Cricetulus griseus: one gene and its partner. The protein of the gene in region 1 purifies or fractionates together with the protein of each later gene. This does not show direct contact. Links are inferred from orthologs where the notes say so. Each region holds a gene or a part of one and is shown on either strand. Other genes may lie near its edges. The genes, in order: Spsb2 and Rnf7.

What was found.
Region 2: the proteins of Spsb2 (region 1) and Rnf7 purify together in Homo sapiens (co-immunoprecipitation; 3 studies listed by BioGRID and IntAct, with this or other methods). This does not show direct contact. The link is inferred for Cricetulus griseus from reciprocal best matches to the Homo sapiens genes SPSB2 and RNF7.

The regions. Positions count from the first base shown.
Region 1 is NC_048601.1:21,604,596-21,611,133, reverse strand, and holds Spsb2 (SPRY domain-containing SOCS box protein 2), read left to right. Parts: upstream 1-2,403; 5' UTR 2,404-2,524; exon of another isoform or gene 2,525-2,573; intron 2,574-2,759; 5' UTR 2,760-2,839; coding exon 2,840-3,503; intron 3,504-3,809; coding exon 3,810-3,940; 3' UTR 3,941-4,165; downstream 4,166-6,538. Other genes in the region: Tpi1 (triosephosphate isomerase), read right to left, coding at 4,683-4,801, 4,926-5,013, 5,235-5,320, 5,791-5,923, 5,998-6,082, 6,160-6,283. UniProt on the Homo sapiens protein: Substrate recognition component of a SCF-like ECS (Elongin BC-CUL2/5-SOCS-box protein) E3 ubiquitin-protein ligase complex which mediates the ubiquitination and subsequent proteasomal degradation of target proteins.
Region 2 is NC_048597.1:205,069,572-205,076,640, reverse strand, and holds the start of Rnf7 (RING-box protein 2), read left to right. Parts: upstream 1-3,155; 5' UTR 3,156-3,249; coding exon 3,250-3,424; intron 3,425-6,568; coding exon 6,569-6,616; intron 6,617-7,069. UniProt on the Homo sapiens protein: Catalytic component of multiple cullin-5-RING E3 ubiquitin-protein ligase complexes (ECS complexes), which mediate the ubiquitination and subsequent proteasomal degradation of target proteins.

The DNA of each region.
Region 1 (6,538 bases):
GATTCAGGGTGAGCCTGTGGCTCAGTAGTAGAGTATGGGCATGAGGCTATGGATAGATCCCCCAGGACTAACAGAATGAAACAAAACGGGAGGTTTTGTCTTCAGGCTGGAGAGGTGGCTCCAAGATTAAACCATCTGCAAGAGCCCTTGGCATTCTTGCAGAGGCCAGTGTTTGGTTCTAGCACCCACACAGTAGTTCGAAACTGTAACTCCAGTTCCAGAGGCTTATGTGTCCTTCTCTGGCTTCCTTGGACGCCGAGAAAGGGCATGTTACACAGACATACATGCCTGCATGCACTCAGAAAGTGAGTTTTTTTCCCTCTTAAGGTTCTGTCTTAAGTTGCAATTCAAACCTCCTACTAGAGGAGATAGCCTTTTGATGGAAGGAGTTCAAGACTAGCCAAGGATGGACTCACAGTTTTAGAAATGACTTCAACCTGCAAAACATGCAGACTATGAATAAGGCTGTGTCTGGGGGAAGGGGCAACAAATGCACCTAGTTCATTAGTGTCACTGGCAAAAGCACTGTCTTCCAGAATGAGGTATCTTCCAGGGGAAAATGCCCAACTGTGTTTCTGTTTCCCAACTAGAAACTTTAAGCCTTGGTTGGAAAGCAACTAATGACCTTTCATCTTCTTCCAGACCCATTGGCAGTGCGTTCTACAGAGCTACAAATCCTGATTCCCCTTCAAAAAAGATTTTTAAATTATGTTCATGGATGTCATACCCTTTGGAGTATCAGGGAAAGAGTAAGAAAAAGTATTCTGCAATGCCAGCAAAGTTTTTGTTTTTATTTTTACCCTTTTGGTGGTGGTCAAGCAAGTATGTGCACACACACAGAATTCACTGAGTAACACTGGAGGTATATCTCAATGGTAAAGCAATGCTTGCTTAGTATATAGGACTTCAATTTAATTTCTAGCACCCAAAAAGAAACAATCACATATAATAGGGCAACTTAGGGTAGCATATTATTACATCCAAACCTGTTTTTAAAAAGATTATTTTGTTTTGCCTGCTGGCATACACCAGCACTTGGGAAGCAGAGGCAGGCAAATCTCTGAGTTCAAGGCCAGCGTGGTCTACAAAGCAAGTTCCAGGACAGTCAGGGCTACACAGAGAAACCCTTTCTTGAAACAAACAAACAAACAAACAAACAATCCAAACTTTATTTTACATGTATATTATTTGTTTTCCATGAATGTGTCTGTGCCGCATTTGTGCAGAAGTCAGAAGAAAGCATTAAACTCCCTGGAACTAGATGGTCGTGAGCTGCCATATGGGTGCCGGAACATGAACTAAAAGCAACCAGTGCTCTTAACTACTGAGCCATCTCAGCAGGCCCACATCTGAATTTTAAAAAGTTAAAATTAGCCATGATGTGACTCATACCCCTATAATCCTAGTGCGTGAAGCCGAGCTAAGAGGAGCAGGAATTCAAGGCCTGCTCTTGGCTACATAGCCAATTTTGTCCTAGGATGGGCAACACGACACCTTTTCAAACCCAAACAAACAAACAAGAAGTTAGAAACAGGCCGGGCACGGTGGAATACTCCTTTAATTACAAAATTTAGGAGGTAGAGGCAGGCCGACCAATGCCCAGGCCGTTCTAAGCCAGTCAAGGCTACAGAGTGAGCCACCGTCGGGAACAAAAGTTAAAATTACCTGTAGCATTATGGGATATTTGAATTGTTATCAATAGACATTTGAGGAGGTCAAATGTCAACGGCAACCTCCCCCCACGATAATGCAGCTAGTGATCTCCGTTCACTCAAAAGTAACCCTTGAAGCACACCCACTAAGCAGTCTCATTACCGAAGGAGGCTGGGGCAGGAGGATGACCGGCTACCGCTTCAGCAACATAGGAAACTCAGGGGGCAAACATAGCCCCTACGTTCTACGGAATGGGAGCAGTAGTTCCGGAAGGGTGTCAATGCCTCTCTGCCCCAAAGGGCCTGGGGGATGACTCGCCCAGGCAGCACAAAGGTCTCCAGTGGAGAACACGCTCCCCAGAGAATCCAAGGCGATGATGTCATCAAAGGGTTAATTCCAGCCGCGGACGCGGGGGAGGGGCTGGGGCGGGGCACACAGCTGTCAGGTGGCATCGCAAAGGTTAACTGCGGGGGGGAGGAGCCCCACGACGGGGAAGATCGAGTCCTGGGAGGGGACAAGAGGGCTGCCCGCCCGCCCAGAGTGGGCTCCACAAAACACGCGCGCCCGTCCACGACTGGCGTCACCGCAGATTCTTTGCCTCGATTCCTTGCAGCCAGTGAGGTTCCCGCGGGGGGCGTGGCGTGGCGTGGCGGGCGTGGTCTGGGCGGTGACGTGAGGGTCAACCACCTAAGAGCCTGGGGGCGGGGCCGGGTCGGGGGCGGGCCGGGCCGGGGGCGGGGCGCGGGCCGGCGTCCTGCATCCCCGCTGGAGCCGGAAGCAGTCGCGGGCCAGGGGCGCGAGCGCTCGCCCAGCCTACCCCTGTCTAGCCGGGCTTCGGCCGAGGTCCCTGCCGGCTGGCGAGCCCAGCGAGGTGCGGGGGAGAGGGCGAGCGTTAGGGACGGCAAGGGCGACGGTCCATGGTGAAGTCTGGGGCGGGGGGGTGAACTAGGGAGAAACTTGGGTGGGGGGAGCCCGGCGCAGATGGGGAGAAAGCAGGGTTGGGGGACCAAGAGCAGGCTGGTGGTCACACCCGGGTGAAGGGATGACGGAGGCGCTAGGGGAAGATGCTGCGCCTCACAGTCCCTTCTCTCCCCACACCGCTCCAGGGCACGATCGGGAGTCCAACTTTCAGAAGAGAGACTCCCCAGCAAGCCCGCTTGGAGGGTCCCCCCCGGCTGCTCACCTCATGGGCCAGACGGCCCTTGCAAGGGGCAGCAGCAGCACCCCCACCTCGCAGGCTCTGTACCCTGACTTCTCTCCTCCCGAGGGCCTGGAGGAGCTCCTGTCTGCTCCCCCTCCTGACCTAGGGGCCCAGCGACACCACGGCTGGAACCCCAAGGATTGCTCCGAGAACATCGACGTCAAGGAAGGGGGGCTGTGCTTTGAGCGGCGCCCCGTGGCCCAAAGCACTGATGGAGTCCGGGGAAAGAGGGGTTACTCGAGGGGCCTGCATGCCTGGGAGATCAGCTGGCCCCTGGAGCAGAGGGGCACACACGCCGTGGTGGGCGTGGCCACCGCCCTCGCCCCGCTGCAGGTCGACCACTATGCGGCGCTTTTGGGCAGCAACAGCGAGTCCTGGGGCTGGGATATTGGGCGGGGAAAATTGTATCATCAGAGTAAGGGCATTGAGGCCCCCCAGTACCCAGCTGGACCTCAGGGTGAGCAGCTAGTGGTGCCAGAGAGACTGTTGGTGGTTCTCGACATGGAGGAGGGGACTCTGGGCTACTCTGTTGGGGGCACCTACCTGGGACCGGCCTTCCGTGGACTGAAGGGCAGGACCCTCTATCCCTGTGTAAGCGCTGTTTGGGGCCAGTGCCAGGTCCGCATCCGCTACATGGGCCAAAGAAGAGGTGAGACCTGGAGTAGGTGTGGGGAGAGAATTACCACTCTGGGCAAATGGTTTGGGATGGAAACTCATGCTTGGCCCACAGGAAAGGGGGCTTCATATCACTTTGGCTTGCCACTTAGATGGCTTTGGCTCTAGCTTCGCTCCCGGGCCTTAACTGGATGTGTGATGCAGAAATTCTGAGCCTTAGATCTCCCTGAGCTGTGAGGCAGATGGAGGCAGAATTGGAGGAAAAGAATTGGGGAGCCTGAGTTTGAGGATGTCTGGCTGGAGTTGTGCCTCTACTGACCTTGCCTTCCTTTTCTCTCAGCCGAGGAACCACAATCCCTTCTGCATCTGAGTCGTCTGTGTGTGCGCCATGCGCTGGGAGATACCCGGCTTGGCCAAATATCCACTCTGCCTTTGCCCCCTGCCATGAAGCGCTACCTGCTCTACAAATGACCCTGAAGCACCAGATGGTACAGGCACCTGGTCATCCTCAGTACCGTGGGGACAGGTGGAGAGGCACCATCGATTGGCCTAGACAAAACCAGTGAAGCTGAGGGGAGAAGAGGCTGGACCCCTTCACTAACCCTTATAGAGGGGCGAGACGTGGAAGTGAAATTAAAGGCTGTGGCAGCCTGGTGCAAAAGATGTTTTTCAAGTAAAAACTGAGATGTATTGTCACAGCCTGTTTTGTTTTTGTTATGCCACTTTCCCCGTGAAAACATGCAATGAAGATGACAAACTACAAAGCTTGGGGCCAGGTGTTTATTTCCTTTACATGTAAGATGGTTCACAAACACAGTACTAGGGCTTCGGCATTGTGGGAGATGGGACACCCCTGGCCTCTCAGAGCAAGAGGACGTTGGCCTAAGTGTACACTGAGAAGGAAAAGGAAGGTGGTTTTACTCTCCTGCCCTGGTGAGGACCTGAAGGGACAGTCAGTTGCGCTTCTTCCGCTCCGCCAGCCAGGAAGCCACTTTGGTGAAATAGGTGACATTATTTCATTCATTGTAAGTGGTAAAGGGATTGGCCTGGTCCCAACCTTTATAGGGAGGTGTCAAAGGTGTAGGAAGGTACAGTGTGGATTAGCAAACAAGATGGGGCGATGACATCAGAAGCATGTGACTTGTGGGAGCAGTTCCTAAGCTCCTGGGCAACCTAATCCTGGCCTAGCGGAGGGTAGGGAAGATGCTGGTGTTTAACATTTGGCATTGATGATGTCCACAAACTCAGGCTTGAGGGAAGCACCACCCACAAGGAAGCCGTCCACATCAGGCTGGCTTGCCAGCTCTTTGCAGGTTGCTCCAGTCACAGAACCTGTAACATTAACAGGAAGATGGTTTGGTCAGGGATAGGATTAGTCCACGGAGGCCCCACCTCTCTGTGGGGCCTCAGTCTATCTTAGCCCACTTCCACCTTGGCTGGAGCCAAACCCCCTCACCTCCATAAATGATTCGGGTGCTTTGAGCCACTGCATCAGAGACATTGGATTTCAGCCATCCCCGAAGCTTCTCGTGTACTTCCTGGGCCTAGAAAGAAGAGGTACACTAAGTAAGACCTTTCCTGTTCATTCAAAGAGAACAAGCAACCCATTGGTGCTTGTATGGAGGGTTTAGTTTCTGGAAAAGTCTTGGGATCAGAATAGCAAGGCTCCAATCCCAGACAGGGAAAACATCCTTGGCAAGTCACTTTTTTTGTTGAGTTGGGGACGGGGGGGACGGGGGGATGGGGCTTCTCGGCAATTAGTTACCTGTTGAGGTGTTGCAGTCTTGCCAGTACCAATGGCCCATACAGGTTCATAGGCCAGGACAACTTTGTTCCAGTCCTTCACATTATCTGCAGGGTGAAGATCAGGGAGAAAACTGTGAAGAGGAAGGAGCTGCCCAGCTAAGCTCTCTAGGGTGTAACAGAAATGGCTTGCAATTCCTGGTGGGCTTTTTTTCTCCACCCATTTTTTTTTTTTAAACAATTTGTGTGTGTGTGCTCACGCGAGCGCTAAGGCAAACATACGGAGGACAGAGGACAACTTGCAGGAGTTGGTTCTCTCCTACCATGTGGGTTTGGAGGATCAAATAGGCTCTCAGGCTTGGCAATAAGCACCCTTACCCACAGAGCCATTTCACCAGCCCCTAGAGGCTTTTGAAGGTAGGGTTTCCACCTTCTGCAGAAACAGAAGTGACAAAGACTATGCAAGTTGCCCTCTCTTTTCCTGGCTCAACATATCAGGTAGGCTGCAGGGTTTTTGACCTCCCCACCCCATCTCTGTGGCCCTTGCTAGGCTCAAAGGTCCCTTTCTCCTGAGATACCTGCGATGGCCTTGGTTTGCTCGAAAACAACCTTGTCGGTGGTGCCGGCCTCCCTTTCATCTAGCTTCTCCCCAATGCAGGCGATCACTCCAAGGCCCTCGGATAGGGCATGGGCCACTTTCTGTCCAATCAACTGGCAAAGAACAAATACAGTGAGCCACCCGCCTCGGATGAAAGCATCTCCCAACTCCTCCTCTGCTTACTGACCTCATCGGACTCCCCAAAGATGTGCCTTCTCTCCGAGTGCCCTAGCACTACCCATTCGGCTCCTAAGTCTTTGATCATGCCAGGGCTAAAACATAAACACCAAGGTTCAGCAAGGGTCCACAAGGAAGGTTCCCTCTACATCCCTCTCTGCCTCCATCTCACCTGATCTCCCCAGTGAAGGCCCCACTGTTCACTTTGTAGCAGTTCTGTGCAGCCACAGCAATCTTGGGATCTAGCTTCTGCCTGACAAAATCGATGTAGGCGGCGGGGGGCGCACAAACCACCTCTGAGAATGAGATCAAAGAAAGCCGTTACTCTCCAGGCTTGCTCTCACGCCTTCACTTTCTTGGTTCTGTTTTCCTCGATTTTTCACTTCAGAAGGATGACCTTTGTTCACTGCACAGCCCCGGCTGGGCCTGTACCAATTCCATAGCCTTCTGAATGCTCATGATAGGCCAAGGCCCTTACCCTGTCCTCTGCTCTTGTAACAGCTGTGGCTCTAATTTCCTCAGGCTATTCCGGGAATGGGAACCTCCTAGAC
Region 2 (7,069 bases), on another chromosome or scaffold:
CTAAATTATGGGTTTCATTCTGTCCCTGATGCCACTAAATCACCAAGGTTTCACTGGTAGCATCATGACTAAGGAGGTCATTGCTGCTGGATACCCCCTTATCTGAAATGGCCTAAGACGAGGAAAAAGCTACCATGCCCAACTTTCTCAGTAATATCCAACTGTGATGAGCCTATCCATGTCAAGATGGTGGGGTCCCCTTGTGCTGGGCACCAACTTGATTGAGGGCTGATAACATCAAGAAGTGGAGGAATGAGCATCTGCAAAACTGATGAATGGGAAAATGCAAAAGTGGTTGGTTGTGAAAGTGTAGTAGGCTAAGGACTGTTGAAACAGACCTAAAATCATAGGCCCTAAAGCTTTTCAAACCTAGTGTGGTGGTATAGGCCTGTAATCCCAACACTGGAGAGGCAGGAGGATTGTTGCAAGTCCAAAGCAAGCCTCACCTATAGTGAGTCCAGGCCAAGCAGGGCTACACACCAAGACCCTTTCTGAACCGCAAGTCCCCATAGGAAAAAAAACAGAATTAAAATTGGCCCAGGGCATGGGTGATGGAATTGCCTGGTGCCAGTGGAGGAGGCTCCAGCACAGGAAGCTTCACAGGACTCATTGAGTCACCGTTCTTCACATTTCCTGACCTCTGCTTCATCAAGTTCAGAACTATAGCACTGCTACAGAATGGACAGAGAAAAAAAACAGGAGTTGTTCTCGCCCCGTTTGGCCAAACTGTAAATAAACCCATTTTCCTCCACCAGTTTCTGTTTCAAATTTTCTTTGGAAAATGAGGTAATAGATTTATGGGGTTCCATTTATCTTAAATTTCCTATAGCACCCTGTGGTGGTTAGTTTTTTGTCAATTTGACACAAGGGTCATCTTGGAGGAGGGAACCTCAATTGAGAAAATGCCTCCATTGATTGTAGGCAAGTCTGTGGGGGCATTTTCTTGACTAACTATTGGTATGGGAGAGCCCAGGCCACTGAGGGTGGTGGTGGATCTGGGCAGGTGGTCCTAACTTGAATAACTAAACCAAGGGCTCTCGCCAGTAAGCAGCATTCCTCCATGGTCCCTGCCTCAGTTGCTGCCTCCAGGTTCCTTCCCAACCTGAGTTCCCTCGGTGATGGACTGTAATCTAGATGTATGAACCAGTTCCTCCCAAAGTTGCTTTTGATCATGGTTTTCAAAGCAAACTAAGACATCCCCCCTTCACCTTTTCTTAACCTTCCTTTTCCTTATACAGCTGGTATACAAACTCTAAATCTAGACTGCCTTTTGTCTTTTCTGTGAATTCTACTTATACAAATAAAAACCCGCCTTTTCTCTTGCTAGCCTTCTTGTCTGTGTGACTCACAAGCCAACAAGAACTGAATTTAAGAGGGCTTGGAGAGTGTTTCCTCTTTAACCACAGGAAAGACTGTTTTCATAAAGATGAATGGCATGAAGGAATGAGAAAATGAGGACCAAAGAAATAAACAATGGAAACATTCACTTGTGATGGGAATAAGATTCTTCCCGAAGGGCTTAAACGTGTTTGCATTAAAGGGAAGTCTCTGAAGCAAACCCAAGCATCTTTTCAATGTTTGGAACAAAGACTCTCCTACAGAGGAGGAGAAGTGATCATAGTAATGCCATCCTGTCCTGACTGTATTCCCTTAGACAGTTCTCAGCCCTCTACCCAAACCCACTCCCACAATGGTCACATCTACCCTGCTGACACACTTGAATTTCCATGGCCTTGCCCATGGTCCAGATGTGTTAACCAAAATAATTGACATAAACTAGAATAATTGAAGAAGATCTAAGTCAAAAATAATTTTTGTGTTGTGTCTGAAGTAAACTTCTGCCAGGAATGAATGTTTCAAGGTTACTTTGTCATGTGAATTATGGTCTTTGTGATTTTTGCATTTAAAAACACTATAACCCTCCCTGAGCTTTGAGACCAAGTGACTCTAAGGCATGAGGTTAATCTTAATTGTAAGAGGGCCCCCAAGACCTTAGCACAACTGACTCCATGATGGAAGTACCATTCAGGCTACATAATGAGTCCTAGGCCAACTTGGTTTAAAAGATGAAACTGCCTCAAAGCAAGCAAATAAACGGATTTGGATTTCAGCTATCTTTTCCATAAACAAAAGCCTTTGCAGATCCCAATACCCACGGCTGGTGGTGCACACTTTTAATCTGAGCAGCAGAGGCAGATGGACCTCTGTGAATACAAAGCCAGCCTGGTTTAAACTGTGAGTTCCAGACCAGGTGGAGCTACATAGTGAGACCCTGTCTCAAAACAACAAACAAAAGCCCGGGGTGGTGGCCCACACCTTTAGTCCCAGGTTTGGGAGGCAGAGGCTGTCGGAACTCTCTGAGTTCTAGGCCAGCCTGGTCTACACAGCTAGTTCCAGGATGGCCAGGACTACACAGAGAGGCCCTGTGTGGGAAAACCAAAACAAGGCAACAATAAACAAAACCATGACGAAAAAGTTAAGGTCCTAATAAATTTGAAGTGTAAAGAAATCCAACAAATAAAGAAATAAAGAAATAAAGAAATCCAAGATGCGGGGCATAGGGGTACACACCCTTAATCCCAACACTCCGGAGGCAGAGACAAATGAGTCTGTGAGTTCAAGTCCAACCTAGTCTTCAGAGAGTTCCAGGCCAGCCAGGGTTACATAGTGAGAAAAACCTTATTAAAAATAAATAAATAAAAAAGCAGAAGGAAGATAAAGAGAAGAAAATGGAAGGAAGGAAAGAAAAAGAAAGAAATAGAAATCCAAGACTCCCATGCCCAAATTGAGACCCACTGAACCGGATTCCTGGATCTCTAAAGTCGTGACTTGTACCAAGTCACACACACCTCCTGTGGCCAGGCTTTTTGTAAGATATGGAGGTTACGGTGATGGAAGAGCCTTTTCTCCCTACTCTGATAGTTCACATTTCGGAGAGAGGAGTCTAATGAAGGCAGAAACAAGGTGATTTCCGAGAGCTCCGGGTTTGGTAAAGAAGGACGCAGGGCAAGGCTCTCTCACTGTCCTCTGCCAGCTCTGCAGTAAACGCCCGAGGCCACCACGGACGATCAGCAGGCCCCGCCCCTCCCGCGTGACGTCAGCGGGCCGCGCCAGGCCATCAGCGCCGCCTTCCTCTGGCTGCGCGGCGGGACCTGCGGGAGGCGCTGTGGCGTGCATTTGGGCCCTAGTGAGCCGCCATACCTCCCGCCTCAGCGCCCAACGTCCGCGTCGCCGTTCTGCGCCGCCGCCATGGCCGACGTGGAGGAGGGCGAGGAAACCTGCGTCTTGTCCTCACACAGCGGGACTGCGGGCTCCAAGTCGGGGGGCGACAAGATGTTCTCCCTCAAGAAGTGGAACGCGGTAGCCATGTGGAGCTGGGACGTTGAGTGCGATACCTGCGCCATTTGCAGGGTCCAGGTGATGGGTAAGCAAAGCGCTGCACGCGAGGCCGGGGCCGTGACGCGGCCTGCTGGGCGAGCTTCGCGGGCGACGGGGGGGGGGGGGGGCGAGCTGCCCGCGCTGGGTGAGTCCTGCGGGGAGGGGCGGGGGGCGTGGCCGAGGAGACAGCTGGACCGTCTCTCGGAACCCGTGGGAACCTCCGGGGTTGTGTTGGTAGCCCAGCGGCCCGCAGACCTCACAGCCGAGCCCTCTCGTGGATCTAAGCGTTCATTTAATTAATTAACTAATTAATTGATTAGTTAATGATTTTGGGGGGGAGAGACGCTCATGTTTCCCAGGCTGGCTTGGAACTTGCCCATTTAGCCGAGGTTGGCCCTGAACTCCTGGTGCCCCTGCCCGCACCTTCCAAATTCTGGAGATGACGAGCCTGCGCCACCGTGCGGATCTTGTTTCATGGCTCTGTCGCCACCGAAATGATGCGCAGCCATTTGTATGGGTTCTCTGCAGCTATTTGGCTGGCTTTTAAAATTTACATTGACCGAGTCAGATAGAGCTCGCATGTCTTGAGGCGAGGGACAAAAGAGTATTTTAGATTTATGGGAATCCAAGGATAGAAAAGCCTTTGCTTGATTCAGAAACATGAAACTTAATTATGTCCCCTTCCCACCCTTTTGTGCCCTTTCGAAGAACCTTCTTTCATTAGTAGTCCATTTTTTTGTTTGCCTGTTTTTTCGAGACAGGGATCCTCTGTATTATTTTGGAGGCTGTCCTGGAACTTGCTCTGTAGACCAGGCTGACCTTGAACTCACAGAGATCCTCCTGCCTCTGCCTCCCAAGGTGTGCACCACCAACGCCTGGCCTCATTAGTAGTCCAACATTTTAGTATTTTGAACGAAAATGTTGGACCAAATGAAACGTATCAAAAAATCGTAATCTCGTTGAGTTTTACATAGTTTAAGAGCTCAGCCCACCTTGAAAAGAACCCTGTTTCTGTCAGTTTCTCTTGGGGGGGGGGGGGCCTGGTGGTTGTTGACAGGGTTTCTCTGTGCTGACCAGGCTGGTCTCAAACTCAGATAACCGCCTGCCTCTGCGTTTCTAGTGCTGGGATCAAAGGCGTGTGCCACCATCGCAGCTCTTATTTATTTCTCTTTTAGACTCATTCAGTCTTGTATAGTCCAGGGTGGCCTTGGACTCCAGATCTTCCTGCTTCCTCCCAAGCGATGAAATTTGTAGAAATGTCTGTGGCATGATGGGGATTGAATTCCTTCAGGCTAGGCAAACTACCAACTGAGCTGCATCCCAGCTTAACATAGGTTTCCAAAGTGTCGGTTAACACCTGTAATGCTCTGGAGGCCGAAGCAGGAGAGTTTGAGACCAGCTTCCAGCAAAAACAAAAAAACAAAAAACCAGGGGCTGGAGAGATGTTTCCGAAGAGTGAAGATTGTCCATACAGATTTCCCACACCCACATGGCAGTTCACAACCCTCTGTAACTTCAGTTCCAGTTTATCCAACACTATTCTGGCTTCAGAGGGCACTAGACACATACGGTGCATAAATGTATGCAAGTAACATAAATTATGTGAGAGTTTATTAAATTGCTGTGGGCTGCAGAGATGGCTCAGTGGTTAAGAGCATTGACTGCTCTTCCAATTCCAGGGAATTGGACTTGAGTTTAATTCCCAGCACCCACATGGTGGCTCACAACCATTTGTAATGCCAGTCTTAGAGACCTGAGGCCCTTCTCTGTGGGCATTGCATAAACATGGTACACAGACACACAGGCAGGCACAACATGCATACACATAAACTATTAACTGGGAGTTGGTGGTGCGGGCCTTTAGTCCCACCACTCGGGAGGTGAGGCAGGATCTCTGCCTTCGACAATTCTAGCATTAGAGTTCAGAGACCACCAGAGCTGGAGCCAGGCACAGGTGTGTCATGTGCTTGAGCCAGTGTGAGAAGAGGGAGGGAGTAGTTTCAATCCACACTAGATGTTTATTTTTATTATTATTTTTTTTAACCTTTTGAATGCCTCTAGCCCTGGTACTAGCAACACATTGTAACAAAGCTAGTTGTGAACTCACAGGGGTCCTCCTGCCTCGGCCTCTTTCTTTCTGGATCTGGAGAAATGGCTCAGTGGTGAAGAGCACATACTGCTCTTAACATACTTAGCACCAAAGTTGTGCAACTCACAAACTGCTAGTAACTCCAGCTCCATCGGTATCCAGAACCTCAAGGGCACTTGCATGTATATACCCACATTTAGGCACACATACATAATTAAAAACAAGCCTTTTCTGTCAGTGTGAGCCTCCTTTTACCTGATTTGCACTGCTTATACATTTAAAGAATGAATCAGTTTCATTGGTCCCTAAAGTATTGTACAGATTGAATTTTAGAAACTTGTAGCATACTCTTAGGTTTCCATTTCTAGTGTTTACACTTAAGTAATTTATTTAAGTACTTTGGCATTGTGTGAATACATTGAGGATTGGGGGTTCGGGCCTTCCTAGGCTACATAGTTTGAGGCCAGCCTGAGCAACATGAAACCCAGTCTCAAAACAAAGGAAAGGAATTTTGCTTACAAAAAAAAAAAGAAAAAAGAAAAGAAAAAAAAAAAACCGGCACATGCCTGTAATCCCAAACTTTGAGTAGAGGCAGGATTTTAAGGTCATCGTCTGCAGTGTGGCAGTTCAGGTTAGGGCTAGCAGGGGCTGTGTGAGACCCTATCTCCAAAACAAAAACCTTTATTGATTCCTCAGCGGATTCTAGATCTTTATGTGTGTATGAACAAATAATGAATGAGTATAATCACAATTGTGTCTAACGGTTGGTCTGTGTGAGTGAGCAAGCTGGTGAGCTTACAATAATTTGTTATGGTATAGTTGGCATCTTTGAGTGACTTTCTCTAATGCCACTGCCAAACTATCCTGACATATGAACTTGTAAAAATCATCATTAGCCCTTGTGAAACATTGGTCATAAGTGAATTAGTAGAATGCCATGTATTTTATTTCTCTTTAAGTAGTTATTTTTAGATGAGAAACTAATAATACGAGACTCTTATCTTCATCTCTGATCCTCGGGGCTTTTGTTTGACTTTGAAGATCTGGGTTTCCAGTGTTGCCTCCTGTACCTCAGATGAGATTTGCTTTGTTTGCTTTTAGATGCCTGCCTCAGATGTCAAGCCGAAAACAAACAAGAGGACTGTGTTGGTATGTGGTAATTCTTCCTCCTGCCTTTTCAATTGGAGGTTTTCTTCCATCTCTGTGGGAATATTTGAATTTAGAATTAAAATTGACTTTATTAAACTGGCCTCGATAACCCAGGCCTGTAAACCCAGAACTGGGAAGGCTGAGGCCAGCTTTCGCTATGTAGTGAGATCTGTTTTCCAAAAAAGAAAAGAAAGAAATGGCTTTGTCAGTACATAAAAAACCATAAAGCAGTAATTAATTATTATTACACATACTCAGACATTTTAGAGGCTGGTAAGATGGCTCGAGGGTAAAGGTCCTTGACTCTTAGACCTGATGACCTAAATTTGATCTCTAGAACCCACTTAAAAATGAAGAGAGCTGACTCCACAGAGGTCCTCTGACCTCCATGGGAAGCTGTGGCATGCATGCCCTATCCTATACACTCAATTAGAAATAAAAACAAAATCAGAA